Linked DNA regions of Elephas maximus indicus. The protein of the gene in region 4 interacts with the protein of the main gene of each other region in a pairwise test. Links are inferred from orthologs where the notes say so. Each region holds a gene or a part of one and is shown on either strand. Other genes may lie near its edges.

Region 1 (7,332 bases), on a different chromosome or scaffold from region 4:
TGCCTTTTCATCTAAAAATATGCAATAGCAGTCCCTGTGGCATTAAATGTCCTTCTAACATACAGTTTTTAGTTGCTGCATAGTATTCTCTCATCTAAATTCACTATATTTAACTACTCTTCTGTTATAAGGCATGAGGTTTCTTCCTTCTATATAAATCTCCAGGCATGTCTTTGATTATTTTCTCAAGACAAATTCATATTGCGTTGATTTCAAGGTAAGTTAACACTTTTAGGTTATTGATATCTTTTTCCAAACTGTTCTTCAGAAAAATTATAGCAATTTATATTGCCACTGGTTGTCAACTAATGTTGAAGGAAGCCCTTTTCTCTCATCTCTTTGCCAATCTGGGTATTATCCTTTTTTTTTTTTTTAAATCTTTACCAATTTGATGTATGAAAATAGGTATCCCCTATCTCCATTTGAATTTCTTATCCTACTGATAAAGTTACTACCTTGATTTCCATGTGATATTTCACCCATTTCAGGTTGACCTGGGTCAATCTAGAGAAGATACATGTTTCCTGGGGTAGGTAGACCTGAGTCATCTGTTCGTTTGACTTTTCCTCACTAAAATGACTCCACTGAGTAGGTGAGAGATGAGTAATAAGGCGCCTTCTTCACCAGCCCCATTCCACTGGTTTTCAAAGCTACTTCCTTCTAGAAGTCTTCCAAAGTCTTCATTTTTCTAACAAATATTTCCTCTCTGCTTGTGTATGTCTGGACTTTCTAACACTTAGGGGCTCTGACCCAGAACTGGGTTCCAGAGCACCTGCTCCTGCAAGAACTTACAACCGAGGACAGCAAGGTACCTGGGCTGCCTGTAGTAGGCACCCCCTAAGAACCCAAGCACGCTCCACCGAATGGCTGGCCAGCTCTGCCTTCTGTGTTCTGCTCGGTTTCCAGGGATGAGATGTGCCTACTTGCAGAGGCATCCTGCCTTTCCTCTTATTTCTCATTCCATGGCCATCAGAGAGACAGGCTTTTCCTTATCCTATGAGGCACCAGTCCGCATGCTGGAAGGCCCCACAGGTGACGAAGCGTCAAAAGCTTTGTTTCCTCTAGTCTGAGGTCCATGTCAGTGGTCTTGGGAATATCACCTAATCTGTCTGGTATTTTGTTTCTTTTCTGGAAAATGAGCTGGATCAAATAAGCTCTAAGCTCCCTTTCAACTCTAACCAAATCTTATGAGTTCAATGAATCTTAGTTTAAGACAGATTGGGAATATCCTAAAAATCTATCTGTTCAGCACTTCAAAAACTATGGCCTGAAGCTTCATGAGGTCACTGTTCAACAACTTTACCTTCTTCCTGTCCTGAGTCTCATACAAAGGATATGAGCACATGACTGCTTCTAGGTGTGAAGCTGGACTTTCCTTTGAATAGTTGCTAGGCTTCCCTAAACTTTCCAGTCATTCCAGAAGAACCATCCTAATGAAGGTGATTGGCTGTACTGTTATTACAAGCTGAGTTTAGTTTATAAAATATTTTTTTAAAATAGAGTTTGACTCTTGAGTAATCTCTTTTAGAAAGTTTAAAAAGGAAAGAACATTTCCCAGAAACACCTTCTCTGTCTCCACCCCACTCTGTCTCCCTGGGAGTTACAATCACTGCCATGGGCACCGGACTCAGGAGGCCTGAGGAAGGGGACAGGCCTGGAGCCAGCAGTTCAGGAGGCAAAAGTTCAGGGTGTGTGTGTGTCTCCATCCAAGGTCAAGTACAAGTTATTTTGAATTCTGTACAGTACTCAGCTACACTGATTTTGAACAATTAAATTCACTTCATATTTTAAAGTAGCAGAATAAACCGTAATGACCAGAGGTTTGGAATTAGCCGGGCTCCCTCTCGTAGTATATACATGCCCAGGAATGAGAAGGATTGCAAGCCACTGCACCAACATTGTTTAGTGTTGAGGACTATCTTTGAGAATTCAATGTATGTACATAAAAGGACTCACCTATTTGCTTCTCCAGAGATGATGCTACAGGGCTTAGGCGGGTGGACTGGCAAAAGAGAAAAGATATGTAATAAATATGAAGACCTTTAGGCAAAGGAGGCAGGATTGTCAAAAAAAACCAAGCCCTGGAAAGAGAACCCAAATACCTCAGAATCTCTCTGATCTCAGACTTTTGCCAAGCAGTTGTGCCCTTTCTAGCTCAGTTTTGTGATTTGGAATAGTACTAGTATTTTTAAAGGATTTTCAAGGAGATTTAGTTTGGCCATTTGAACTAATCCACTTCTAAGCAAGAATCAATGTTTATTTTATTTTTTGACTCACTAGGTGTTAGGCAGTAAATAGCTAGGCAGACTGATTAGCCAACTGAGAAAGGAATTGTAAATGCTAATCCTATCTTGGCCCTGATCCTTTATAAGACAGAGGAAAAAAAAAATCCCCTCACATGTATGGCTCTCTATTTCTCTGCCTGTAGAATGGAATGAGCGTAATAACCCATTTCCAAGAGAGGAAAAAAAAGATTGAGAAGCACTTGGCAAAGAAAGCAGTGGGCCACAGTGGTCCTCGGCCCCCACTGCACAGAGCTGTCTTGGTGAGCCCAGCACGCAGCCCCCCTCAGGCCAGGCTTACCTCTCTGAGTTCAGCCAGCTCCTTCTGCAGGTGGAAGAGCTGGAACAACCCCAGCCCCAGTCCAACCAGGGCCACCAGAACCATGAAAAACATTACGAGGAGATATAGGCCTGTGTTGGGATTCCGTCTCTTCTTCAGAAGTGATGGTGGGAATGGAGGCAGTGGTGGCCGTGGTGGCAGCGGTGGCGGTGGGGGTGGTGGTGGCCTCATTTGGCCGGGTCTTCCAGGCACAGAGGAAGGGCAGGGGAGAGCAGACCCTGGAGGGGCCAAAGGAGAGCTGGAGCTGCTGTCCACCCAGTAGATTTGGGGATATGGGTAATTCAGTGGCTGCCACATGGCAGCCAGGAACTCAGGGCACCCTCCAGGCAAAGAATTTTACTTCTTCTCGATCCTGTGTAGGCTGAGGTGTCAGAGGAGGGGACTCCTGTTGCTAAGTGCTCAAGAAAAGGGAAGCCGGAGCTCTCTTTATAGAGTTTCCACAGCTAAGGGAAACACTTCTCTCGATCTCTTTCTGTTTCTCAGAGAAACACCCACTCACTTTACGTCTGAAGCTGAGAAGCCTCAAGGAGCTCGGAGCAATTTGCGCCTGAAGTTGAAAGCCTCAAGGAGCTCAGGGTAAACCGCTGTAAGCTTCTACCCACAATTTTCTGACGAAAGCATTCAAAGTCCCAGTTGCTGTTGCTTTGCTACCTGAAAAGGCTGGTAGGTTAGGCTCCTCTTTCTCAGACCTGCTGGAGCAGGTAAGAATCAGGGGCCAGCCTGGTGGGCATAACCTGCTGCCTAACTGCAGAGAGGTTGGCCAGCGGGGCGCTTTCAAGCACTGAGGGGAGAGACCATTGAGTTGTGGCCAGAGGAACCACTTCCACATCTTACCTTTTGCATGAGCTGCCATCCCTTCCCCTAACCCAAATACTGTTTACCCTGACATTGCAAAACACCAGAATTTACAGGAGAAAAAACCCTGCCCCACCCACTATCTAGAGATTAGATCAGAAGTTGCAAACCTGTGGCCCGTAGGCCTTACAGAACCCACAGGCCTGTTTCATTTGTACCTCACAATGTTTTTCTTCTAATTGGCTGTCTACCTTTAAAATCAGGAGATTCCACATCAAAAATACAGGTTTTAATTCTGTCTTGAAACATTAGAAGACTGGGCACACTCAAGACCATCTCTGCAAACCCAGTTGGTGTGAGCTGGGTAGCAGCTGCCCACGTGGACAGAGCCCTGAAGCTCCAGGTCACCCAGGGTCCCCACCCCCGACTATGTGTCACACACCACCACATGTGGGAAATGGCTTCCTGACCACTGTAGGAATTTCTGTTTGCAGCTCCTTTTAGGGTTGCCAGGTAAAACACAGGACACTCAGTTAAATTTGAATTTCAGATAAATAATGAATAATTTTTAGTATAAGTATGCCTCAAATATTGTATGAAACATACTAAAAAAAAGGTTGCTTATTTGAAATTCAAATTTAATTCTTGAACTCACATGTGGCTTTGGTTGTAGTCATTAAAGGCAGTGTCATGGATTGAATTGTGTCTCCCCTAAATATGGGTCAACTTGGCTAAGCCATGATTCCTGGTATTCTGTGCTTATCCTCAATTTTGTGATCTGATGTACTTTTCCTATGTGTTTTAAATCCTAATCTTTGCCTGTAGTTAATGAGGCAAGATTAGTTTAAGTTAAAGAGGATTAGGGTGGGATGTAACACCCTTACTCAGGTTACAGCCCTCAATCCAATAAGGGGAGTTTTCTTGGGGTATGGCCTGCATCATCTTTTATCTTGTAAGAGATAAGAGGTGAGAGAGAGGAGCAGAGAGAGAGGGACCTCCTAACACCAAGAAAGAAGAGCCAAGAGTAGAGCGTGTCCTTTGGACCTGAGGTCCTTGTGCTGAGAAAACTCCTACACCCAGGGGAAGATAAACAGAGAAAGAAATCCCTCTCCCTGAGCTGGTGCTCTGAGTTCGGCCTTCTAGCCTCCTAAACTGTGAGAGAATAAATTTCTGTTTGTTAAAGCAATCCACTTGTGGTATTTCTGTTATAGCAGCACTAGATAACTAAGACAGACTGAGAAAAAACTAAGACAGTAAGTTTAAATAATAATTAGCTAGAAAATATAATTTTAAGAATTCTACCACACTCATAAAAAGCCCTTAAAATATACTAAAATAACTCTAACAAGAATTATACAGGTGTATATTTTAAAAATTACAAAATTTTACTGAAAATGGCAAAGATGCAAATACATGGAAAAATAGACTACATCCTGGGTGGGAGGATAGAGAGGTAGTATTGCATGATGGGTAAGAATGGGCCCTGGAGTTAAACTGCCTGGGTGCAGCTTCCAGCTCCATCACTTATTATCTCTGTGATTTGGACAGGTCGCTTTCTATTTTCTGTGCCTCAGTTTCCTCATCCCCCAAATGTGCATGATCATAATAGTACTTACCTTACAAGGCTCTGTGGGGATTAAATGAGTCAAAGTATAAGATACCTTTAGAAGAGTCCCTGGCAACAAGGTGAAACCAAAAATACATAAATAAAAACTGTTGCCATCAAGTCTTTTAGGCTTGTGGCCACCCCATGTGTTTCAAAGTAGAACTGTGCATAGGGTTTCCAACGGCTGATTTTTCAGAAGTAGATCACTAAGTCTTTCTTCAGAGGCTCCTCTGGGTGGACTCGACCCACCAACCCTTCCGTTAGTAGGTTTTCAAACGCTTAGCTATCGCACAACCCGTGGACTCCGGCAACAAAGTAAGCCCTCAAGAAATGTTAGTTGTTGTTAGTTTATCAGATCTCTCCCAAATAATTCAACTACAGACAATGGAATTGACCTTCTTCTGTTAAGAATAAACCAGTTGGTAGGGAGGAGAAGGGCTGCAGAGAAAAGCACAAATTCTGTGCTTGACATCTAATATCTCTCAGAGATTCCACCGCTGGACTGCGGGACCCTCTGCCTCAGGCTAGGACCCTCCGCTTTTTATCTCAAACTTCCACGATTCTCCAATAAGAACTATGCTGTATTTGTACATCTTCCTCGGCCCTGCTTCTTCTCTTGATTCATATTGTTCTAGGAGGACTCAGAAGCCCCATCCCTGCCCCTGACACACCCACTGTCCCCCAAGCTTAGGGACAATCTGAACTGAAATAGAGACAAGGAGAGCAGGCTTTAAACACTTGTGTCCCTCTTTGGTAATGCCGCCAAACATCACATTTAGCCAAATCATGGGGGAAAAAACACATACCCCTCAGCACAATAAAGACCCCTTCACAGTTCGAGGCACTACTAGAACACTGCTAATTAGGAAAAATAATCTTTTCTTTAAGACCCCAGAGGCTACTCACCAATGTAGAATGTAGAACATTTTCCTTATAAACTATGTTATGCTAAAATTGTTTGTTCTTTTTTTTTTAATTGTGCTTTAAGTGTAAGTTTACAGCTCAAGTTAGTTTCTCATATAAAAATTTATGCACACATTGTTATGTGACCCAAGTTGCTATCCCTATAATATGTCAGCACACTCCTCCTTTCCACCCCGGATTTCCCATGTCCATTCAAAAAGCTCCTATTCCTTTCTACCTTCTCATCTGACCTCTGAATAGGAGCTGCCCATCAGTCTCATGTATCTACTTGACCTAAGAAGCGCACTCTTCATGAGTATCATTTTATGTCTTATAGTCCAGTGTTGGCTTTGGGAATGGTTTTAGTTCTGGGTTAACAGAGAGTCCTGGGGCCTTGTCTTCTGGGGTCCCTCCAGTCTCAGTCGGACCATTAATTCTGGTTTTTTTACTAGAATTTGAGTTCTGCACCCTACTTTTTTCCTGCTCCATCAGGGACTCTTTGTTGTACTCCCTATTAGGGTGTTCATTGGTGGTAGCCAGGCACCATCTAGTTCTTCTGGTCTCAGGCTAATGGAGTCTCTGATTTATGTGGCCCTTTTTGTTTCTTGGGCTAATATTTTCCTTGTGTCTTTGGTGTTCTTCATTCTCCTTTACTCCAGGTTGGTCGGGATCAACTGATGCATCTTAGGTGGCCACTCACTAGTTTTAAGACCACAGACACCACTCACCAAAGCGGGATGCAGGACATTTTCTTAATAAACTTTGTTATGCCAATTGACCTAGAAGTCCCCTGAAACCATGGTTCCCCAGATCCCCACCAGTGCTATTCTGTTCCTCGAAGTGTTTGGTCATATTCAGGAAATTCCTTAGCTTTTGGTCTAGTCCAGTTGTGCTGACTTCCCCTGAACAGTGTGTTGTCCGCCTAAGATAATTCTTCTCTACTTCCACCCTTAACCATCAAAGAATGTTTTCTTCTGTGTTTAAACATTTTCTGGAGTTTTTATAATAGTGGTCTCATACAATATTTGTCCTTTTGTGACTTACTAATTTCAACCAGCATAATGCCTTCCAGATTCATCCATGTTATTAGATGTTTTGCAGATTCATCATTGTTCTTCATTGTTGCATAGTATTCTATTGTGTGAATATACCATAATTTGTTTATCCATTCATTGTTTGATGGGCACCTAGGTTGTTTCCACCTTTTTGCTGTTGTGAACGTTGCTGCAATGAGCGTGAGTGTGCATATATCTATTTGTGTGAGTGCTCTTATTTTTCTATGGTACTTCTAGCTTTTTAAGGAAGCATCAAATCAACTTCCAAAGTGGTTGTACCATTTTACACTCCTACCAGCAGTATATAAGTGTTTCAATCTCTCCACAATCTCTCCAACATTTATCATTTTG
Region 2 (7,912 bases), on a different chromosome or scaffold from region 4:
TTATAAAATCTAATTAGATAGCTTAAGCAAAAAAAAAAAAAAAAAATTTCAATTCATACCAAATTTTAAAACTGAGAAGGGATGATTTGGAAAGATTTTAAATGATTACATTAACACAAACCAAACCTGTTGCCTTCAAGTCGACTCTGACTCATAGCGACCTTATAGGGCAGAGAACTGCCCCACAGTTTCCAAGAAGTGGCTGGCGGATTCAAAAGGCCAACCTTTTGGTTAGCAGCTGTAGCTGTTAACCACTTCTCCACCAGGGCTACTTACTACCTCATGTTCTGAATGCTGACGTTTTCACAAGAGGCAGAGATTGTTCCTTCCCCAGATGCCAGATCCTGTGTCCCACGTGCCTTTTTACGCTAATTACTACAGAAAGGGTGTGAGGGTTTTTGGGTCATTTCAAGTACAGACCAGTAGCAAGAATACATCTAACTGGTATTTACATTTAAGCCTTTACCCCTTGTGGTATTTTAAAGATTGTTTACAACATGAAGCATAAAAAAAACGTAAAACACACAAAAAAACCAAAGTCAGGTGACGGTAAATTGAAAACGTTTATCAAGGGCAGGTCCACACAAGCTGTACTTGCTTCCAGAGGCCACCTCTCATGTCCTCCGTAATTTTGCTGCCTTCAGATCTGTGTGGAAAAGTGCAGGATGAACCAGAGTCCAGTGCTCATCAATGAGTAAACCTCATTTCCCCTCGTTTAACAATTTCCCAGGTAAGCCTGAAATGCCAAAAGAGCTGTTTTAATTAGCACTTGGACTTCATTGCCTCCATAAAGCATGGCCAGCCAGAAGAGTTATCTGTCACTTCTCCCCATCTTCAACAAAGGCAAGCCCCCATCTCATCTGCACTCTCCATTGAAAAAATCACAAAGTACTACCCGCTTCTAATTCAAATTCAGTGACAAACTTCTACTGAATTTAGATCAATTAAGCATTTATGGCCTGTGAACTCCATGCAGGCACTCCGCTCCATACTGAAAACAGTAACAGTCAACATCTCCACGTGCTTTCAGCATGCCAGACAACGAACGAGCTAGGTATTTTACAGTCATAGTCTTGTTTAATCCTCACACAACCCTAGGAGGTAGGTACTACTCTAAACCATTCTACCGCTTAGGAAACTGACGCTTGCTTATGAAACTGGCCCAGCGGTCCCATAATGCCTGGTAACTGGCCACGTTGGGAATCTGGTCCCACGCAATCTGACACTAGAGCTTCCATCTGAACTCAGTCCTTCCAGGGCTCTAGAGCTGAGGTGGCACTGTTACTAAGGAGCGCTCATCGGCATTCCTGTAAGCATTTACTTGTAAGCATTCACCCCTGCAAGCATCTACCTGCAAGCATGCATATAGTTCAGAGCTTCCATTTATCCAAAAACGTTTTCAGGGCATCCCTTTGTAGTCTTCTCAAGGGCAAGAAGCACGTGGGCCAACCTGAGCCAACTCGGACTACACTGATTCAGGAAACAGGAAATCCCTGCCTGTGGCAACCTGAGTACCAACAAACTTTAAAATATAATTTTAAAATGAAGACAGAACTGCCTAACCCTGGTACGGCTTGATTGGTTGCTTTTCCTGGTGACAGGTACGTTCTACAAAGTGACGCTAAGAGACAGTACAGACAAGTGCGACCTGTCCGATTACAGTCTGCACAGAGAGGTCGGACCCACGGGCTTGGGGTCCCCACTGACGCATTCCCCGCTCTCCAGGCCCAGCTGAGGTCTCCGACCCCCGCCCTCCCCATCCGCCCCCACCCCCTACCCAGGGCCAGCGGGGGGTCTCTGCATCCCCCACCTTTCATGCCCTGTCCGGGTCTCAGCGTCCCCCGCCCTCCAGGCCCGGCCCAGGTCTCATAACCCCTCGCCCCGCAAGGCCCAGCGCGAGTCTCCGAGCCCCTGCCCTCCAGGCCCAGCCCGGATCTCATGGCCCACTGCCCTGCAGGCCCAGCTGGGGTCTCCGCGCGCCCCCCCCCCTCCCCCGCCTCCTGGCTCAGACCAGGTCTCTAGGACCCTGCCCTTCTGGCACAGCCCAGGTCTCATAACCCCTCGCACCCCAAGGCCCAGCGCGAGTCTCCGCGCCCCCTGCCCTCCAGGCCCAGCGCGGGTCTCAGACCCCCTGCCCTCCAGGCCCAGCGCGGGTCTCAGACCCCCTGCCCTCCAGGCCCAGCCCGGGTCTCAGAGGCCCCTGCCCTCCAGGCCCAGCCCGGGTCTCAGAGGCCCCTGCCCTCCAGGCTCAGCCCGGGTCTCAGAGCCCCCTGCCCTCCAGGCTCAGCCCGGGTCTCAGAGCCCCCTGCCCTCCAGGCCCAGCCCGGGTCTCAGAGGCCCCTGCCCTCCAGGCTCAGCCCGGGTCTCAGAGCCCCCTGCCCTCCAGGCTCAGCCCGGGTCTCAGAGCCCCCTGCCCTCCAGGCCCAGCCCGGGTCTCAGAGCCCCCTGCTCCAGGCCCAACCCGGATCTCAGCGCCCCCTGCTCTCCAGGACCCACCCAAGTCTCCGGCCCCGCCCAGACTGCTAAGCTGAGTCACCGCGTCCGTGACCCCAGAATGGCCAGGCCCGAGGCTGGAGAGTCGGGTCCACGGGCCCGGGCCGCCAATTGGGCCGGGCCGCGCCCCCGGAGCCGCACTTCAGCGGCCGGGCGGGGGGCGGCCTCCGCACTGCTGACTCTCCCAGGCAAAGCAAGCCAGACTCTGGGCCGTCCAGCTCTGAACCCCAAATGAGGACTATGGGGCGTCCGCGGGCCGGGCGGTCCACCGAGGCCGCGACCGAACGGCGGGAGGGAGCCGGCCAGGCCTTCCAGTGGGGCCGGGCCTCGCGAACGGCCTCCGCCACGGCTCCTAACTTCCGCCGCTCGCCGCCCCGCTTACTTGGCTTTGACGGGCAGGAGCTCCTCAAACTGCCTGGCCGAGCCAACCTCCACCACGGCGGCTGCCGCCTCGGGCGCCCCCGCCGCCATGCTGCCGCCGCCAGACAGGAGCAATCGAGCGCGGGCGGCTCGGTGGGCGGGGCCGCGACGCCGGCTCGCTGCGCGCAGGTGGATCGCCGTCCCCCGCAGGACCCGCCCCCGGACCCGCCCCATCCCGGCCTGCGCCGGCCTCCCGCGGGACCCGCCCGGTAGGCCCCGCCTCCCGAGCGACTTGCCCCGCAGGGCGCCGTCTCTCGCGCCCCGCCCCTCCCGGCCTGCGCATGTCCCCTTCGGACCGGCCCTGCAAGCCCCGCCCCCTGCAGGCCCCGCCCCTCCCGCGGCCCCGCCCCGCAGGCCTCTTCCGTCCCGCGGGCCCCGCCCCAGAGTCTCTGTACTCTGCAGCCGAGATCGTGAAACGACAGAGGCCGCGCTGGCGCCTGGCCCAGGCCAGGGGTTTCCACTGGGAACCTGGAATCCTCATGCCAAGGGTCGTGACTGTCAGGTAGCCATGTGGCTGCGATACCCATTATGGTGGCCATAGGGCTACTATAAGCATAGACCACAGGACCGTAGGATTGATTCGAAATAGCCAGTACCAGTCCATTTCCGCTCTCTGATGCCTAGGATCGCTGAGTCGGAATCCACTCAACCGCAGTGGGGTTTTTTCATGCCTAGGACAGCGATCTTTTTGCATTTCACTTAATTTTGACGACTTCAGTTTTCCTAGATTCAACCACATATGTCTGCATTCCACCTTCTGATCACTAATGGATGTTTGCAGCTGTTTCTTCGCATCTTGAGTCGTACCAAGTCCGCAAATGAAGGTCCCGAAGCTTTACTCCCTTTACATCATTGAGGTCGACCATACATTGAGGCCCCAGCCCTGGTGGCACGGTGGTTGAGAGCTCAGCTGCTGACCAGCTGCTCCTTGGAAACCCCATGGGGCAGTTCTACTCTGTCCTAGACTGTTGCTATAAATCAGAATGGACTTGAGGGTGGCGGACTTTTTTTTTTTTTTTTTTTTTTTTGATACTTTGAGGAGGCAGCTCTTCCCCAGTCTTCTTTTGAGTGTCTTCCAACCAGATGTGTTCCTCTTCCAGTACTATATCAGACAACGTTCTGCTGCTGTTCATCAGAAATTCAAACCGGATTCAGAAGAGGCCGTGGAACCAGGGATATCATTGCTGATGTCAGATGGAGCCTGGCTAAAGGCAGAGAACACCAGAAGGATGTTTACCTTGTTTTATTGACTATGCAAAGGCATTCGCCTGTGTGGCTCATAACAAATCATGGATAACATTGGGAAGAATGGGAATTCCAGAACACTTACTTGTGCTCATATGGAATGTATACAAAGACCAAGAGGCTGTCATTTGAACAGAGCAAGGGGATACTGTGTGGTTCAAAATCAGGAAAGTTGTGTGTCAGGGTTGTATCCTTTCACCATATTTATTCAATCTGTATGCTGAGCAAGTAATCCGAGAAGCTGGACTCCATGAAGAAGAACGTGGCATTAGATTGAAAGAAGACTCATTAACAATCTGCAATATACAGATGACACAACCTTGCTTGCTGAAAGTGAAGAGGGCTTGAGGCACTTACTGATGAAGATCAAAGACTACAGCCTTCAGGATGGATTACATCTCAACATAGAGAAAACAGAACTCCTCACAAATGAACCAAAAGCAACATCATGATAAACAGAGAAAATATTGAAGTTGTCAAGGATTTCATTTTGCTCAGATCCACAGTCAACGCCCAGGGAAGCGGCAGTCAAGAAACCAAGTGACGTATTGTATTGGGCAAATCTGCTGTAAAAGGCCTCTTTAAAATGTTAAAAAGCGAAGAGGTCACTTTAAGAACTAAGGTGCATGTGACCCAAGCTGTTGTATTTTCATTTGCCTCAGAGGGATGCTAAAGCTGGATAATAAGTAAGGAAGATTGAAGGAGCCCTGGTAGCGCAGTGGTGAAGTGCTTGACTGCTATCCAAAAGGTTGGCAGTTTGAACCCACCAGCCACTTCACAGAAGACAGATGTGGCAGTCTGCTTCTGTAAAGATTACAACTTCAAAACCCCACGAGGCAGTTCTACTCTGTCCTTACTCGGTTGCTGTGAGTCAGAATCGACTCGACGGCCATGGGCCTCTAAGTGTAAAATATACAACTGATTCAAAGATTCAGTATAAAAAAAGTAAAATACCTCATTTATGATTTTGATACTGATTATATGTTGAAATGATAATATTTTGAATATATTGGATTATATGAAATATATTGATAAAATTAAATTTACCTCCTTTTACCTTTTTAATGTAGTTACTAGAAAAATTTAAATTACATGGAGGCTTTCATTTATGGCTCACTTTATTTATTTATTTACTTTTGGATTTTGTATTTTCTGTGGGAGGGTGTTGCTGCAGGGATTAAAAGTGGCCTTTTGGAGCCACGTTACAGGTTGTCTTACACTGAGAAACGGATTTACTGAAATTGGTACATTACCTTATTTAAAATGCAACGGAACTGTGGTGAGAAACTGTTCTGTATCTTCTTGAGTGTAGTGGAGAATACGTGAACCCACACAGGTGATAAAATTGCACAGAATTAAATACACCCACACAAGAGTGAGCAAAGTAAACCTGGGGAAGTCTGGATAAAACGAGTAGGTCACGTCAATATCCTAATGGTGATATTGCTCTGTAGCTTGCAAAATATTACCACTGGGGAGACTGCCAAAGGTGTTCAATGGGGGGGGACCTTCGCTTTTTACAGGATGCACTTCTGTCACTGCATTTTTTCAAAGAGCATGGATTGGCTTTGTAATTAAAAATATACTGAAATTGTGATGCACCAGGGAAATGGGCCATTTTGAGTCGTTTTCAGAAGAGCAGTAATCACCCCTCTAACACGTTGTTGTTGTTAGGTGCCATCGATTCCGTTCCGACTCATAGCGACCCTATGCACAACAGAACGGAACGCTGCCCGGTCCTGCGCCATCCGTTGTTACGCTTGAGCTCATTGTTGCAGCCACTGTGTCAATCCCCCTCGTTGAGAGTCTTCCTCTTTTCCGCTGACCCTGTACTCTGCCGAGCATGATGTCCTTCTCCAGGGACTGATCCCTCCTGACAGTAAGTCCAAAGTATGTAAGACGCAGTCTTGCCATCCTTCCCTCTAAGGAGCATTCTGGCCGCACTTCTTCCAAGACAGATTTGTTCGTTCTTTTGGCAGTCCACGGTATATTCAAAATTCTTCGCCAGCACCGCAATTCAAAGGCGTCAACTCTTCTTCGGTCTTCCTTATTCATTGTCCAGTTTTCACATGCATATTATGCGATTGAAAATACCATGGCTTGGGTCAGGCACATCTTAGTCTTCAAGGTGACATCTTTGCTCTTCAACACTTTGAAGAGGTCCTTTGCGGCAGATTTACCCAATGCAATGCATCTTTTGATTTCTTGACTGCTGCTTCCATGGCTGTTGATTGTGGAACCAAGTAAAATGAAATCCTTGACAACTTCAATCTTTTCTTCATTTATCATGATGTTGCTTATTGGTCCAGTTGTGAGGATTTTTGTTTTCTTTATGTTGAGGTGTAATCCATACTGAAGGCTGTGGTCTTTGATCTTCATTAGTAAGTGCTTTGAGTTGTCTTCACTTTCAGCAAGCAAGGTTGTGTCATCTGCATAACGCAGGTTGTTAATGAGTCTTCCTCCAATCCTGATTCCCCATTCTTCTTCATATAGTCCAGCTTCTCGGATTATTTGTTCAGCATACAGATTAAATAGGTATGGTGAAAGAATACAACCCTAACGCACACCTTTCCTGACTTTAAACCAATCAGTATCCCCTTGTTCTGTCTGAACAACTGCCTCTTGATCTATGTAAAAGTTCCTCAGGAGCACAATTAAGTGTTCTGGAATTCCCATTCTTCGCAGTGTTATCCATAGTTTGTCATGATCCACACAGTCGAATGCCTTAGCATAGTCAACAAAACACAGGTAAACATCCTTCTGGTATTCTCTGCTTTCAGCCAGGATCCATCTGACATCAGCAATGATATCCCCGGTCCCAGAAACCAGCCTGAATTTCTGGCAGTTCCCTGTCGATATACTGCTGCAGCCGTTTTTGAATGACCTTCAGCAAAATTTTGCTTGCGTATGATATTAATGATATTGTTCTATAATTTCCACATTCGGTTGGATCACCTTTCTTGGGAATAGGCATAAATATGGATCTCTTCCACTCAGTTGGCCAGGAAGCTGTCTTCCATATTTCTTGGCATAGACGAGTGAGCACCTCCAGCGCTGCATCTGTTTGTTGAAACATCTCAATTGATATTCCATCAGTTCCTGGAGCCTTGTTTTTCGCCAATGCCTTCAGAGCAGCTTGGACTTCTTCCTTCAGTACTATCGGTTCCTGATCATATGCCACCTCTTGAAATGGTTGAATATCTACTAATTCGTTTTGGTATAATGACTGTGTGTATTCCTTCCATCTTCTTTTGATGCTTCCTGCATCGTTTAATATTTTCTCCATGGAATCCTTCACTGTTGCAACTCGAGGCTTGAATTTTTTCTTCAGTTCTTTCAGCTTGAGAAACACCGAGCATGTTCTTCCCTTTTGGTTTTCCATCTCCAGCTCTTTGCACATGTGATTATAATAATTTACTTTGTCTTCTCGAGAGGCCCTTTTTTTACTTCATCAATTCTTCCTTTTGCTTTAGCTGCTCGACGCTCAAGAGCAAGTTTCAGAGTCTCCTCTGACATCCATCTTGGTCTTTTCTTTCTTTCCTGTCTTCTCGGTGACCTCTTGTTTTCTTCATGGATGATGTCCTTGATGTCATTCCACAACTCATCTGGTCTTCGGTCACTAGTGTTCAATGCGTCAAATCTATTCTTGAGATGGTCTCTAAATTCAGGTGGGATATACTCAAGGTCATATTTTGGCTCTCGTGGACTTGCTCTGATTTTCTTCAGTTTCAGCTTGAACTTGCATATGAGCAAT
Region 3 (7,298 bases), on a different chromosome or scaffold from region 4:
CCCAAAAGTTAAAAAAGGGAGAGAAGTCAGGTAATCTCCCTTCCTCCACATCCCCTCCACTCGACACACACGCTGGCTGGGGGTGGGAGAAGGGTGTATAGAAACACGATCTGAAAACACTCAGAGAATAAATGGGGGTGCAGTAGTGGAAACTGGAAAAGAAACCCAGGGTTCGGCTCAAGCCGTCAGCTTCAGCAGTGGAAGAGTTGGTACAAGCCACAGGTCCAGGGGAGGGCCACCCTTCCTCAACTCAGCCTGCATGTTCACATAAGGGAAGTTAGGCCTTAGGGCCAAGCTCTTTCCGTTAGAGCTCACTGGGACTTCAGATTTCTCATTCGTTGCTGGGGGAAAAAAGTGATTAGATCCACAAAAGTAATAGCCACCCGTGGGAAACGAATCCGTGGGTAAATGCACTGTGTGGGCGATGGGAGCACAACAGTAGACAGGTTGCCCCCACGGTTGGGCTGGAAGGGCGATTGCTGCACCTTTTCACTGCCCTGGTCCATCTCACCCACCCCTGACTCTGTTGTCTGCGCCTGCAGCCAGCTTTGCATTGAAAGCAGACTAGGCAATCGGTTACCTGGGCCTACTCGGCAACAGGCTGCCTCAGACCCGAGAGACTGAGGATCCCTAACGTTTGCAAGGGCGGAGGGGCTGGGAGGGCCGGTGCTCACCCGGATAGCCCACGGAGGGGTGCAGCAGGTCCATGGCCGGCCCGGCTAGGCCCAGCCCGTTCATGCCATATGGGGGTTGTTTGAGGTAAGACATCATGCTAACAGCCGGGTGGAGGCGCCCCGACGGATCCAGGGGGCCGGGGGCCTGGCGCGGTGCGGGCTTCCCACCGCGCAATCCTTTGAGCTCTGTTGCGTCTGGGGGCCCGGCCTAGGAGACATGACACACATGGTAACCGTCAATCCAAGCCACCCTGGCTCCCAGGTACTGTCCGAGGTCAGAAACCTCGGGATGGGGAGGGTGCACAGGCTCCGGGACTGCACAGCGCCGCGGTCAACTCAGCTCCATAAGGCCTAAATCCAGAGACCACAGCTTTTTTTGAAAAATGAACTTTCCTGAGTCTCCATGCCTCTCTTGGGGCTTAGAATAGGCGAAAGACACTCGTAGGGCGGAGCTGGGAGTGAGGAGAGGTTAAAAGCCTGGCCGGGCTGGGGAGGTCTAAGCCCTCAACAAGGGGGAAGCAGGGTCCTAAGCCTGAGCAAAATTTTGAGTCCGGCGGGAGCCGGCCTCATGCTGAACAACCAAACGTTCATTCAGCCCCTGGCCGCAGGCTGCCCAGAACATGAAGGGTTATTCTGTTTTGTTTCTAATGTCTTGAAAGCGGGAAGAAAAGGTAGACACTCCCGAGGGCCGAGGTGAAGCACTGCGGAGGGCCGGCGCCCCTGGCCTCTTCTGGACGCGGAGCCCACTTGGGAGGCTTCGTTTCTTTAAAGGTTTCCGCAGCTGGGGCCCGGCCCCACCGTCCGCAGCCACCCCTCCAGATGACCTTTGTGCCTAGTCCCTGAAAGATCTCTCACCCAGAATCCCACCACACCTCAAGCGCAGTTACTGGCCCAGATCTCCCAGACACAACCAAAAGACGCAAAAGGGGCCACCGTAGAGGTGGTGGTTGCAAGACGCGGCCTGAGGTGGCGGGTGCCTCTGCCGGAGCCTCGGGCCCTTCTTCCGAGGTGCGGGCCGGGCCTTCTTTCTGCTGGGTCCTGTTGCTGACAACGGGGCCCGGGATGAGGCTGAAGCGTGACCGGCTCGGCGCTCCAAAAGACCTCGGGGATTTGGGAGGCCTGGATGTAGCCGATCCCCTGAGCTCCCCTGCCTATCCTGCTCCCTGGACCCCGCGGCCCCGGGACCTGACCGAAACTAAAAAACTAGGCCTCAGAGGCATAACCCGCGAGCCCCTAACTGGAAGGTTGAAGCCTCGTTTCCGCAGCTTCCCAAACCCGAGGCTCTAGTGTCAGGGGTCAGGAAGGGGCGCTAGGAGTGGGGCTGGAGCCCAGGGGCCCTGTCGCTTCATCCCGCTTCGCAGGAACTCTCTAAAGCGGGCCTTGGAAGCTGGGCTAGGAAGTTCAGGGACAGAAGTTAGAGCTAAAGAAGCCCTTGCCCCGGTCCTCCGGGACTTGCGGCCTGGGTTTACAGGGAAGGAGAGGAGGAGAAACAGCCTGGGTTCTTGGGCCCAGGGAGAACGGGACTCCAGCCACCGCGGCTCTGTTAGGCTGCTGCAGTGTATTCAAAGACTTTCTCCAAACTTAGCACTTCAGCTCGCTCACTTCGGAGGAGGCGGGGGAGACTGGGCGGGCGGGAGCGCCGGACTGTAGTCGCGCTCTGGGGTCCTCCACGCACCAAGAGGGGCGCCAGGCCGATTCCCCCCAGCCCCGCCCCCCAGCCCAGGACCTGTGGAAGCCGGAACCCAGTTGAAGAGGTGGAAGCAAGAGCAACCGACGCGCTCCCCGCGTCCCGGGAGGCCCCTGGGCTTTCTCCTTACCTGCCCTCAGTTGTCGCGGCCGCTCACCATCTACCTCGCGCCCTCAACGAGACCCTCCGGGCAGCCAACCTGCAAAACAGAGGGGCGCAGGAATTACCCGCCGGACTGGACGAGGCTGGTCTGGGACCCCCGATTTCTTTCTTTCTCCAGTTTCCCTCTTCCCATCTCTTTCTTCCCTCCCAGTGGCTTTATGTGTGTCCCTCCAAGTTTCATTTTATTGTACAGACACTTTGTTGGCAAAACCCTACACGCTCCTGGGACACTGCCTCGCCGGGGATCGAGCTGTAGGGCCGCAGGGAGGAGGTGAGGGGGTGCGAGGGACAGAGTTGGGAGGAGGCTCGCGGTTGTTGCTGCACTCCTGGTACAGGAGGGAGGCGGTAGGGGCTGGGGAATTCTTGAACAGACACTTTGTAAACTAAATAAATCAAGCGATTTACCTTGTCGCAGTGGCTTGTCTTTCTCGGTTGTTTAGGTGATTGGAAATGTAGCCAGATGAAGATTGATCACCTTTCTACTGCCCTCCCCGAGTATGTGAACGCGAGGCGAGTGCGTAACGGGGCTAGGCCGCCAATCGGGGGCCCCGCGCGGGCTGAGTGACAGGGAGCCGGGCAATGGCAGCTCGAGCCGAGGGTTACCTCCGCGCGCCCCCGCCCTCCCCCGCCCCCTGCACCCCGCTGTCCCCACCCGCCCGCCCGCCCCGCCCCGCCCCGCCCCGCCCCGGTGGCGCGCTAAGTCCGGGGCTCGACTGCCAAACGCCGCGCAAAGCCAGGCGAACGAGGAGAGCGCAACGCCGGAGCCCCGGCCGCAGAGGGGCGCGGGTCCCGAGGCCTGGCCCGGGGCCCCCGCCCCTCTCCCCCCTCTCCCGCCTTCGCGGCGCGGCCGAGGGAGTGGCGGCGAGGTGCTGGAGAACCGGTTTCTTCGCTCTCCCGCGCGCTCACCCGGCTCGGCGGCCCGGGTATGGGCGCGAGGACTCAGGGGCCGCGGACTCGAGGAGCGTGGGCCCCAGGCCCCTCTGGCGGCTGCGCGGGCCCCAGCGTCTCCTTCCCAGCGCCGTCACCTGCTTGCGGACGCCGCGGGCGGCTCGTGCCGGCTCCGGCAACTTTGCAGAGCGCGGGAGCAGCTCCCAGCGCGCAGATGCCTTCTCGGCGCCTCAAGACTTCTGCGCTGGGAAATGGCACCCGCAAGGGAGACACCGCAACCTACCTGCTTCTCGGCGTGCCCTGTTCCCCGAAGGGTGTTTTTAGATTCTAAACGCTTCTTCTGAAACGTTCCAGCCCAGCGTCCCTTCCCCCTCACACACACACGCTTCTTCTGAATCGAAAGATTTTGATAGGAAACTTTCTCTTTCCCACTCTGTCTTGCTCTTCTTTCCCATTTTCAGCTACCAGGGACAGTCTGGTCAAAACGTGGCCACAGGCCCTTGTCCTCAACTTCTTTTCCACCTGCCCCGGAAGTAGCCTCCTTGAAGCGATTTTCCCGGGTTGTTCCTACTGGCGAAGCCTATTTCCCAGTCGAACAAACTCCTACCCATCCACCTTGGTGGATTTTTCAAAGCAGAAAAAGCGTTTTCGCCCCCAGCCTTGAACAAGCCAGTTGTTTTCAATGGCACCACCTTCTGAATACTAGGCACGACTTTATTTCCTTTCGAGGAATTCCCATCCCTTCTTTCTAATCCCCCCACCCCAGCAGGCGGAGGGAAAAGTTTGAGCAGCAGTTAAGTGTGAGGGCGAGTCACGGAGCCGATAGGCGCATGGCTCGGGAGCGCCGACACGGCCGGGGCGCCGAGTCCGGCACCGTCATCAGCCCGGGGGCTGGGCGAGGAGGAGGAGGAAGGGCAGCCCACTGAGTGAAAAGAGGCCGCGGCTGCAGCTCATCAAAGTGCTTCCCCCTCCCCCCAAGCGACACTTTCCTTTGGAGTCCGAATAAAATACGGTAACAGAATATGATGGAGGGCACACTGTTTCCTTAACTGCTTCTCAAAGAACCCGGGAGATCTTCTTAGGACCTTAATAAGGCTTTGGTCGGTTCTTTTGTTGATCTCTCAAAATCAACTCCTTCTAATTGAAGTTGGAGCTGAAAGCGAGCTAATGTTCAAAGAAAGTGGCCGCCAGACCAACGAAATTACATTTTTTTTTTTTGACGATGAAGGAACATCTAATCAAAGGGGCAGGGAAGGAGGGGCGGGAGTGGGGGAGTACGAAGGAGAAAAGGAGGTTTTACAAGATCCTTCTCTGGTTCACAAAAGTCAGCGACACGGGCGCTTCTCTCCAGAACAAAGACACCGCTGCCCATTCACAAAAGGGAGAGAAAGCGAGAGAGAGGGAAAGCAGAATAAAAGAACGAGGGGAAAGGAAAAACATGATGCGGGGGGCGGGGGGAAGCTTTAAGGGGAAAAGAAACTGCGCTGAGCGCATCGTTGGCCCCCGGAGCGGACACACTCAGGCTTGCGCAGGCCCCCGCCAGGGGCAGCCCGTGCGGCCTGCAGTCAGCAGCCCCGGTATCGGAGCCCGGGAGATGGTGCTGAGAGTTAAAGAAAGAAACGAAAGACACCCCCGCCCCCAGTTCCGGGGCAAGGCGCTGGCTGGAGCTCACTAGTTTGGAGGTGGGGGAAGTGTGCAAGCGTCCAGGAGCGCGCGCCGGCGGCGTCCGCATCCGTAGCCCGGAGCAGCCACCCGGGCCTGCGCGCTGTGTGCCCGGGTTGGCCTGCCTGCGCCGGAGTGCGTGCCCTTGCCCCAGTGCCGCAATCTCTCCGTCTCCTGCTCCTCCGGGCCCTGTTTCGCCGGCAGCCGGAGCCTTGGTCCAGGACCAGCCCGGCAAAATGGGGAGGCGGTGCGCGCTGGAATGTGTCGCGCGGTCCCCAGGGCCCGCCGAGCGGGAGTCCGACGCTTTCGGCTCCAGATGCTGCCACCCGTCTCAGGAAAGTCGGGAGGTATCAAGTAGCATGGAATTCCCCCCCCCCCCATAAGAGTATTTATCTAATCCCAAATTGCAGGCGAATTTTCTTAATGCTCAGCCCATAAAACCCCGGGATTAAGAGAAGAAAAAGAGAGAGAGGAGAGGGGAGAGGGAGGAGAGCGTAAAGGGAGAGAGAGGAAAGTTTCTTGTACGCTGTGCAGAGGGCTGAGGCGGCCGTCGCTAGGCAAATGTCCAGGTGGGAGACACCGGGCCAGAATCTGCGACCGTTCCAGCAACGGCCGCACCGCGGAGACAGCGCCGGGGGAGGGGAAGCGGACCCAGCTCAAGGCCTCCGGGCCGGGGAGGAGGCGATAAAGCTGGGCCCCGGGGCCCGGATCCCGCGCCCAGGTGACCTCGAGGCCCGGCCAGGCTCTGAAGGACACTTAAAGCAAGCGGAGAGGTTTGGCTTCGGGGCCGAGGGATCCTGGCCAGGGGCGGAATTTCCGCAGCTGCCCGCGGGCTGTGCCCTAACCAGCCCACCGCCAATGCTCCTCCTCCGCTGCGACCTCCGAGCCCACTGCCTCTCTTCCTGCAGCGCGGGCTTTCGGGTTCCCAGCCCCTCGGCGTCCTGGGTCCGCGCCCGCGGCCCGGAGCCGGCGCCCGGCCGGACGCAGCCAAGTCCGGACGAGGCGCCCTAGCCCGGGGCCTGACCCCACAATCCCGGGGTCCGCGCTCTGCTGCCGCTACGGGGCGTGCAGGCGCCACTAAGCAGCCCAAATGGGAGCCCTGCGAGGCTCGGGACCGGGTCAGGAGGGGCCGGGAGCGGGTCCGCACGCCCGCCCCTACCACCCTAGCAAATACAGGGCTAGGGAAGGTTTGGCACTTGGTAGGTCGGGCGCGGCTAAGGGGGTCCGCCTCTCGGAAAGGCCCTTCAGGGGTGAATGGTGCCCGAATCCGTAGTAAACCGGGTGGGTGACGCTGGCCACCCGAGCCTCAGGCTGCTCGGGTCGGGCGATTTCTGTGTGGCATCCTTCCCTGGGGTTAGAGAGCGTTTCTGAAAGCTTCCCCCAGAGAGCTGCAGCTAGCTGTGCTCTCCTGCTGGGGGGGGGGGGGCGCAAATACACGATGTCACTTAACGCCGATAACTTTTCCATAACTTTTCCTAAAATCCTTTGCTTGAAGGAATTTTACCGCGGCAAGTTTTTGTCATTTTGAAAGACTAGCAATTGGAGACAACTGCATACTTTTCGAATACAGTTTTGTGTGTGTCTGTGAATATATATGTGTGTGTATATGTTTCTGTGTATGTATATATATGTGTGTGTGTGTATATATATATATATATATATATATATACATTTTTTTTTAAAGGCTAAATGCTAGCGGACTGTTTTCTTTAAATCTCCAGACTTGTTGAACAGCTTTCTTTGTTTGGAACCTCTCTGTAGAGGAGTGACTGGAAACTACCATAGAATCACCATTTTTTTCCCCTGTAGCCTGTACTTCTTGTTAAAAGTTCATTTTCCCTCATCTCATACACACACACACCTGCACACAATACCCCACCCCACTTCCCCTACAATCACCCTTTTCCTTTTACAGCTCCTACAGACTTGCCTATTATCAGAAGACCTAGTAACAGGAGTGCAATACTGTAACAACTGAAAGAATAACATGGAAAATTCATCAAGATGTTACCATTTTTCAGTGATGTGGAATCACATATTTCCTGCAATCTTTAATAAAAGAGATGACCCTTTTTCTGGATGATAGTTTACACTGCTTAAGAAAATATGACTAATTGCTGTTCAATTCGAATTCATATGTCAGCAGGGCCCCTTTGGGATGGTGTAAACTTACTCACCTCCAAATACAGCCTGCACTGCGTTCCAGAGATCCATTTTCCACATGG
Region 4 (7,715 bases):
TCCAGTTGCAATTTTGAAGGATTCTATGTGCAAAATATTGAAGGATACAGGAAGAAGATGGAAGGAATAACAAGTCATTGTACCAAAAAGAATTGGTTGACATTCAACCATTTCAGGAAGTAGCTTATGATCAAGAGCTGACGGCATCGAAGGAAGAAGTCCAAGCTGCTCGGAAGGAATTGGTGAAAAACAAGGCTCCAGGAATTGACAGAAGACCAAATGAAATCTTTCAACAAATGGATGCAGCGCTGGAGGTGCTTACACGTCTATGCCAAGAAATTTGCAAGATAGTTACCTAGCCAGCCGACTGGAAGAGATACATATTTGTGCACATTCCAAAGAAAGGTGATCCAACAGGATGCATAAATTATCGAATAATATCATCAATATCACACACAAGTAAAATTTTGCGAAGACAATTCAAAAATGGTTGCCACGGTACATTGACAGGGAACTGCCAGAAATTCAAGCAGGATTCAGAAGAGGATGCGGAATGAAGGCTATCATTGCTGATGTCAGATGGGTATTAGCTGAAAGCAGAGAATAACAGGAAGATGTTTACTTGTGTTTTGCTGCCTATGCAAAGGCATTCAACTGTGTGGATCATTACAAATTATGGATAACATTGAGAAGAATGGGAATCCCAGAACACTTAATTGTGCTCATGAGGAACCTGTATGTAGATCAAGAGGCAGTTGTTTGAACAGAAGAAGATACTGTGTGGTTTAAAATCAGGGAAGGTGTGGGTCAGGGTTGTATCCTTTCAGTATACTTATTCAAACTGTATGCTAAACAAATAATCTGAGAAGCTGGGCTATAGGAAGAACATGGCATCACGGTTGGAGGAAGGCTCATTAACAACCTGTGTTATGCAGATGCCACAACCTTGCTTGCTGAAAGCGAAGAGGGCTTGAAGCACTTACTGATGAAGATCAAAGACAACTATCTTCAGTATGGATTACACCTCAACATAAAGAAAACAAAAATCTTCACAACTGGACTGGTGAGCAACATCATGATAAATGAAGAAAAGGTTGAAATTGTGAAGGGTTTAATTTTACTTGGATCCACAATAAATGCCCATGGAAGCAGCAGTCAAGAAATCAAACTACCTATTGCACTGGGAAAATCTGCTGCAAAGACCTCTTTAAAGTGTTGAAAAGCAAAATGTCACTTCGAGGACTAAGCTGTGGCAGACCCAAGCTGTGATATTTTCAGTCCCCTCACATGCATGCAAAAGCTGAACAGTGGATAAAGAAGCCTGAAGAAAAGCTGATGCCTTTGAGCTTTGGTGTTGACGAAGAATATTGAGCATACCATGCGCTGCTAGAAGAACAAACAAATCTGTCTTAGAAGAAGTACAGCCAAAATGCTCCTTAGAAGCTAGGATGGCAAGATTTGTCTCATGTACTTCGGACGTGTTATCAGGAAGGACATCATGCTTGGTAAAGCAGAAGGTCAGCAAAAAAGAGGAAGATCTTCAACGAGGTAGAGAGTCATAGCGGCCGCAACAACAGGCTCAAACACGGCAATGATTGTGAGGGTGGTGCAGCACCGGGCCGTGTTTTGTTCTCTTGTAAATAGGGTGGTGATGAATTTGAACCAACTCGGCAGCACCATACAGCAGCAGCGCACATCTTGCCTACATTTAGATGCCCATCACTTAAGGACTTTCGGTCACTAGATCCTATTTCATTCTGGTTTCTTCAAGTCCTAGTGCTTAGTTACTTGATAATAGGATAATAGTTTGTTGATTGTTGTTAAGCCCTGATTCATGGAGACACCATGTGTTACAGAGTAGAACTGTTCCACAGGACTTTCTTAGCTATAATCTTTATGGAAGCAGTTTATTAGGCATTTCTTTTCCACAGTGATAATAAGGGTGGCATGGAAATTCATGTGACTTTGTTAATTCACGTATATTTGAAAGGTCAAAAACACATAAAAGACCTCCACATAATTAAAAAAATTTTTTCTAACTTGTTTTTTTTTTCTGCTTGTGCCAATTAGTTAAAATAACATCAGGGGAAGAGGCAGATCAAGAGAATTAAATAGCGTCTGCAAATAAAGAATGATTATCGTTGGGATATGAGCCACAGCACAAGGGCAAATGAATTTTTAGTGTTAAAGTGAATGCTTTACCCTTTGCTGTGGTCTAATTTTGCAGCGTTTAACTTTTAGCTCTGACCATTATTTGTTAGACACTAACACCTGGGCATCCCCCCTCCACACCAAAATAACCCTTTGGTTCTATTAATAGCTAAGAGGATTTACAGACTTAAATGGTGCTTTCCACAAGACACACACTACATTGAGCAGTAAAATTGCCACTCTTTGGGGTCATCATCTGTCTAATGGTAGAAAGTCATGCTGTCTTAGGAATTACTTGGAATTTAGAAAAAAAAAAAAATCCTCTTAACTCCTTAATGTTCTTATGTTCTTGTATCAGTCTATTGACTTTGTTCTCTAGCAGTCTTTATAAAAAGCAGTATACATTTTTTCATTCATTACTACATAGGATAAAATCTTTACATCAGAGAAAAATATCCAAGGGTTAATATCAATAGCCACCCAATCTATGGCTAGGTTTTCTGCTTTGAAAAACAGCATCTCCCAAAACAAAAAAGCAACGAGTAACGGCTTGCCTTGATAAACGCACGCTGCTGAGGTTGAAGAAAACTGGACGTATCAGGTAATTGTCATCACGAATATAGTTTTCCCCTGGTGGTAAACCTTCAGTAAAATCAAGTGAGCAATGGCACTCAAGCTTGTTTATGATTTTATGTTCTTTCTGGATAAATCCTCCTCCTTGTCAAGAAAGAATCATGGATTGTAAAGAGGTCATCTTACCTTGAAGTGATGCACAGCTTTGGTGTCCTCTTCGTGTTCTGGGGTTCGGTGGATGGTTGCATTATATCCTTCAGCCCTAAACAAGGGCAAAAACTTCCACGTAGATGACCTGGAACAGTGTTTCTGAAGGCCCTCTTGGTTGTCTTGGAAAAGGCTGGGCATGTTTTAATAAAAACAACAGGGCAGAATTCCCTTTCTTTCTCTTCCTTTGGCTAACGCTAAGGCATTTCTCAGTCTGCTGGCAGCCTTCTTGGAAATTTGCAGTAGTCAAAGCAAAAGGATTATCTATTTATGGATCAGTAGCTTAACCACAGATCTTTAGTCCTCATTGCTGGTGCAGAACCTCTTACTTTGAATGTCTGGGTTTACCATGACTGCCCCCTAAAGGCGGGAATGCATTCATAATTCAAACCTGCTGAAGTAACTGATTCTAGTGATATACAGCTGAGGGTATAACGATAAAGACAGACAGAGATTGCTTGACAAAATTCTGTATTAGTAATGTGTGTGAGGAAATTGTACTTGACAATCTTGGGCTATGCAATTGATAGGCAGATGCTCAGCCTAATTTTTTAGGTTTCCTAAAAGATCATTTTAATAGCAGCCAATTTTGCAGCTAGAAACTAATCTTAAATTCATATTCTAAACTTAAGCCCAAGCATTGTTACGCCTTTTACTTAAAAAAAAAAAAAAAAATTTTTTTTTTTTTTTTTTTACTTACATCATGTAAAATTAGTCAAGGTGATTTTCTTATGTGGTAACTAGTCACCTAATGATGAAACCAAGAATTAGCTTCTAATACCATACTTTATATTTGTAAAGTGTTTTATAAATATAAACTCGTTGCCGTTGAGTCAATTCCGACTCATAGCGACCCTACAGGGCAGAGTAGAACTGCCCTATAGAGTTTCCAAGGAGCGCCTGGTAGATCTGAACTGCTGACCTTTTGGTTAGCAGCTGTAGCTCTTAACCACTATTCCACCAGGGTTTCCTTTATAAATATGAGAATATTAAATGGAGTGAAAAAAGCACAGCACATAACACATTTCTCTACGATGTGACTAATGGCCAAGTAACTCTGTGGGGTTTAAGGTGCACAAAGGTAAGGGCTCCACCTGTTGATTACTGGGGACTGTGAGCTGAAGAAATTTTTCTTTTATGGAAGTGCCTGGGACTCCCGAATTAATGTACAGATTTATAGCAATTAATATGAAAATCCTAGCTGCCTTTTTACAGAAATGGACAAACTGATCATAACATTATTATGGAATTGCAAGGTACCCAGAAAAGCCAAAAAAACAAAATAAAACAACCCTGGAAAAAGAAGAACAAAGTTGGAGGGTTCACACTTTTCCAATTTCAAAAGGTACTATAAAATCACAGTAATCAAAAGAGCACGGTACTGCTGTAAGGATAGTTGTTAAGATAAACTACTGTTTGGTTTTAAAAAGACTTCAGGGGATAGTTTTGGTTTAAGGTTTAAAAATTATCTCAGGGCAAGAATTTTGGTGGTTCATCCAGCCGCCATGGCTCTAGAAAGTCTGGATTTCATGAGAATTTGAAATTATGTTCTGCATTTTCACCCTTTTGATCAAGACTCTTCTGTAGAGTCTTTGGTCAAAATATATGGCAAATTGCTTTTTTTTTAATTTGTGCTTTAGATAAAAGTTTACATAGCAGATTAGTTTCTCATTCAAAAGTTTATACACAAATCATTTCATGACATTGGTTGCAATCCCCACAATGGGTCAGCGCTCTCCTCTTTTCCACTCCAGGTTCCCCGTTTCCATTCGTTCAGTTTTCCTGTCCCTTTCCGCCTTCTCATCTTTGTTTTTGGGCCAGCGTTACCCCTTTTGGTCTCTTGTATTTCATTGATCTAAAAAGCATGTTCCTCGCATGTGCTGTTGTTTGTCTTACAGGCCTGTCTAATCTTCGTTGGAAAAATGAACTTTGGGCTTAGCTTCAGCTCGGAGTTAGAAGGGTGTCTGGGACCATAGGCCGAGGGCTTCCTTCAGTCTCTATCAGATCGGTAAGTCTATTTTGTCTCTGTGTGTGTGAATTTGAATTTCGGTCTACATTTTTCTCCCACTCTGTCCAGGACCCTCTGTTGTTATCCCTGTCAGAGTGGTCTGTGTGGTAGCTGGAAACTAGTTCTTCAGGGCTCAGACTGGTGGGGGCTGTTGTAATTGTGGTCTATTAGTTCTTTGGACTAATATTTTCCTTGTGTCTTTGGTTTTCTTCATTTTCCTTTGCTCCAGATAGGATGGGACCAATAGATGTATCTTAGATGGCCACTTGCAAGCTTTTAAGACCCCGGACACTACTCAACAAAGTAGGATGCAGAACATTTTCTTTATGGACTATGTTATGGCAATTGACTTACATGTTACCTGAGACCATGGTCCTCAGCCCTCAGCACCAGTAAGTTGGCTCCTCAAGATGTTTGGTTGTGTCTGGGAGGCTTTTATGACTGTGCCACCTTTGGGCTTTACTATATATATGAATATCTTATGTATCCGCTTGTAAATTTTCATTTGTTTTTACTGTTGTTGTACAGTTGTATATGCTATGGTATTAGCTGTGGTTGTTTTTTTTTTTTTTTTTCCTTGTGTTCTTCTAAGTGTCTTTCTTTGGCAAATTGATTTTTGACAAAGTGCCAAGTCCATTCAATGGGGAAAGAAGCCTTTTCAACAAATGGTGCGGGGACAACTAGATTTCCACATGCAGAAGAAGGAATGTGGATCAAGCTAGTGTTCATGGTAGTGAGAGCATGGCTAGAAACAAAGAAGGAGAAAATGTGGGAAACTGGAAAAAACTGAATCCTTAGGCCCCTCCCAAGCACTTCTGGTCCATTTCCTATAAAGAGCTGCCTATCGTGCTGACAGATGAGAGCTCTGTCTCCCCGACATTAGGCCACTGTTATGCATTACCCCAGGTAAAAGGGCATTTTCTAAACAGTCAGTGGAGTTTACAGAGTTCAGAGGCTTGTATCTAAGACATGTAAGCATCCGAGCAGAAGAGATTAGCGGGCTATTAATCTAGAAAATCTCTGACTTCTTTACTAGCTCAAGAGATGGATAGAAAACAAATGGATTTGAATAGAAAGCAGATGGAGTGAAGTGCTAATGGAGTTGAACTATCAGAAAAACTCTAAAACTGGCAAATCATAACCAAAGTTCTTCCCTTAGGCGAAGGAGGCTAAAGATGTTCAAAACTAGAGAGGGAAATCCTCCCAGATGCTCATCTCAGATGCCGTTACTGGACTTGTCAGGACAGGGAGACCTCTGAGATGGTGCAGTTAGTCCTAGTTCAGACTTGTGGATCAAGGAACTTGTTCTACTGACGAAAGAGGCAGAGTTGGCTGTGTACCATGGACCCAAACTGTTCTCCTCCATCATTGTGTGCTGAGAGTGCTGGTGGTAGATTTAGCACTGCACCATGAGTTGGCAGCCATAAAGACCCACACGTGGACTAGACCACGAGGATTGCAAATCACTAAATGACCCTTGACTTTGAGCCAGACACAATACGGGAAAAGACTTCAGGTTGTCTTCCCTGGAATAAGATGAATACATTTTTAATTTCATGTAGGATATGTTAAGTGGGAACATTTTTGAAAGGTTGTATATGAAAAAAAAGAGAAGTGTGTGTGTCAATACTGAGTTGTCTAGAGGTGAAATGTAGTGGATGTCTTTTTTTTTTTCCTCATCCACCATTCACGTCCTCTTCTTTTTTATGATAACAGCATCCTAGTTTTCTTTGGGGTCATGTGTCTATTCCCTTCTCAGTCCCTGTTACTTAGATAGGGCTGACCCTGTACCTGGAAACCCTGGTGGCATACTGGTTAAGTGCTATGGCTGCTAACCAAAAGGTTAGGAGTTTGAATCTACCAGGTGCTCCTTGGAAACTTCGTAGGGCAGTTCTAATCTGTCCTATAAGGCCACTATGAGTCGGAATTGACTCGACGGCAACGGGTTTGGTTTCTTTTTTTTTTTTGAACCTTGTATCCAGCTCCAGGTCAGTGAACACAACACACACATGGGCTGTCGGTAAATTCCATCCTTCTGCCTACAGTGACTGCTCAATGCCAAGCGTGTAACCAGCCCAATGGAGTCAGTCCTAGGACTTTTGATAATCTGTTAGAAAAGAAGTGCTTGTTTAGGTCTGCTAAATTGGTAGCCTATAAGTGTGGTGTTCTTGGTGTGTATATCTTTACCCGTACTTGGATAAAGGATGCCAAGAATAAACCCAGCTCACTGAGAACCAGAAGTTAGATGCAGAAAGAAAGTGCCTGACATCACTTGAGCAATTCACCATCTTTGATGGTCAAGACCTAGATTTTTCATTTACGTGATCAATGTTATTATTATTTACTGTTGGGTTGTCTCTGACTCATGGCAACCTAGTGTACTACAGAATGAAACTTTGCCCAGGCCTGTGCCATCTTCACAGTTGTGGGTATGCTCAAGTCCATTGTTGTGGCCCCTATGTATTTCGAGTGACTTCCAACCTAGGAGGATCATCTTCTAGCACTATACTAAACAATATTCTGCTGTAAGCCCTGGTGTTTTCATTGGCTAATTTTCAGAAATTGATCTCCAGGTCTTTCTTTATAATCTATCTTACTCTGGAAGCTCCACGAAATCTGTCTACCACAGAAGACCTCACTGGTATTTGAAAACCTGTGGCATAGCTTCCAGCATCACTGCAACACGCAAGCCACCACAGTATGAGAAACTGAAAGATGGGTGGTGGACATGATCAATAACCTCACTAAAATAAAAAAGTATTACTTTAAGAATATTATTTCTATTTGCTTAAGCTAGCTTAATCTGTTTTCTTTCACTTGCAACATATACAAAAGG

The links.
Region 1: the proteins of RGS20 (region 4) and FASLG interact in binary tests that used the Homo sapiens proteins (3 or more experiments, as listed by UniProt). The two-hybrid records come from large-scale screens. The link is inferred for Elephas maximus indicus from reciprocal best matches to the Homo sapiens genes RGS20 and FASLG.
Region 2: the proteins of RGS20 (region 4) and GLRX3 interact in binary tests that used the Homo sapiens proteins (3 or more experiments, as listed by UniProt). The link is inferred for Elephas maximus indicus from reciprocal best matches to the Homo sapiens genes RGS20 and GLRX3.
Region 3: the proteins of RGS20 (region 4) and OTX1 interact in binary tests that used the Homo sapiens proteins (3 or more experiments, as listed by UniProt). The two-hybrid records come from large-scale screens. The link is inferred for Elephas maximus indicus from reciprocal best matches to the Homo sapiens genes RGS20 and OTX1.

Annotation. Positions count from the first base shown.
Region 1 is NC_064821.1:210,464,809-210,472,140, forward strand, and holds the start of FASLG (tumor necrosis factor ligand superfamily member 6), read right to left. Parts: upstream 3,018-7,332; 5' UTR 2,920-3,017; coding exon 2,584-2,919; intron 2,003-2,583; coding exon 1,957-2,002; intron 1-1,956. UniProt on the Homo sapiens protein: Cytokine that binds to TNFRSF6/FAS, a receptor that transduces the apoptotic signal into cells. Involved in cytotoxic T-cell-mediated apoptosis, natural killer cell-mediated apoptosis and in T-cell development.
Region 2 is NC_064834.1:80,051,829-80,059,740, reverse strand, and holds the start of GLRX3 (glutaredoxin-3), read right to left. Parts: upstream 3,008-7,912; 5' UTR 2,965-3,007; coding exon 2,876-2,964; intron 1-2,875. UniProt on the Homo sapiens protein: Together with BOLA2, acts as a cytosolic iron-sulfur (Fe-S) cluster assembly factor that facilitates [2Fe-2S] cluster insertion into a subset of cytosolic proteins.
Region 3 is NC_064835.1:73,744,874-73,752,171, forward strand, and holds the start of OTX1 (homeobox protein OTX1), read right to left. Parts: upstream 3,014-7,298; 5' UTR 2,929-3,013; intron 2,561-2,928; 5' UTR 2,492-2,560; intron 921-2,491; exon of another isoform or gene 883-920; 5' UTR 772-882; coding exon 675-771; intron 1-674. UniProt on the Homo sapiens protein: Probably plays a role in the development of the brain and the sense organs. Can bind to the BCD target sequence (BTS): 5'-TCTAATCCC-3'.
Region 4 is NC_064833.1:86,221,010-86,228,724, forward strand, and holds the start of RGS20 (regulator of G-protein signaling 20), read right to left. Parts: upstream 3,013-7,715; coding exon 2,864-3,012; intron 1,001-2,863; coding exon 982-1,000; intron 1-981. UniProt on the Homo sapiens protein: Inhibits signal transduction by increasing the GTPase activity of G protein alpha subunits thereby driving them into their inactive GDP-bound form.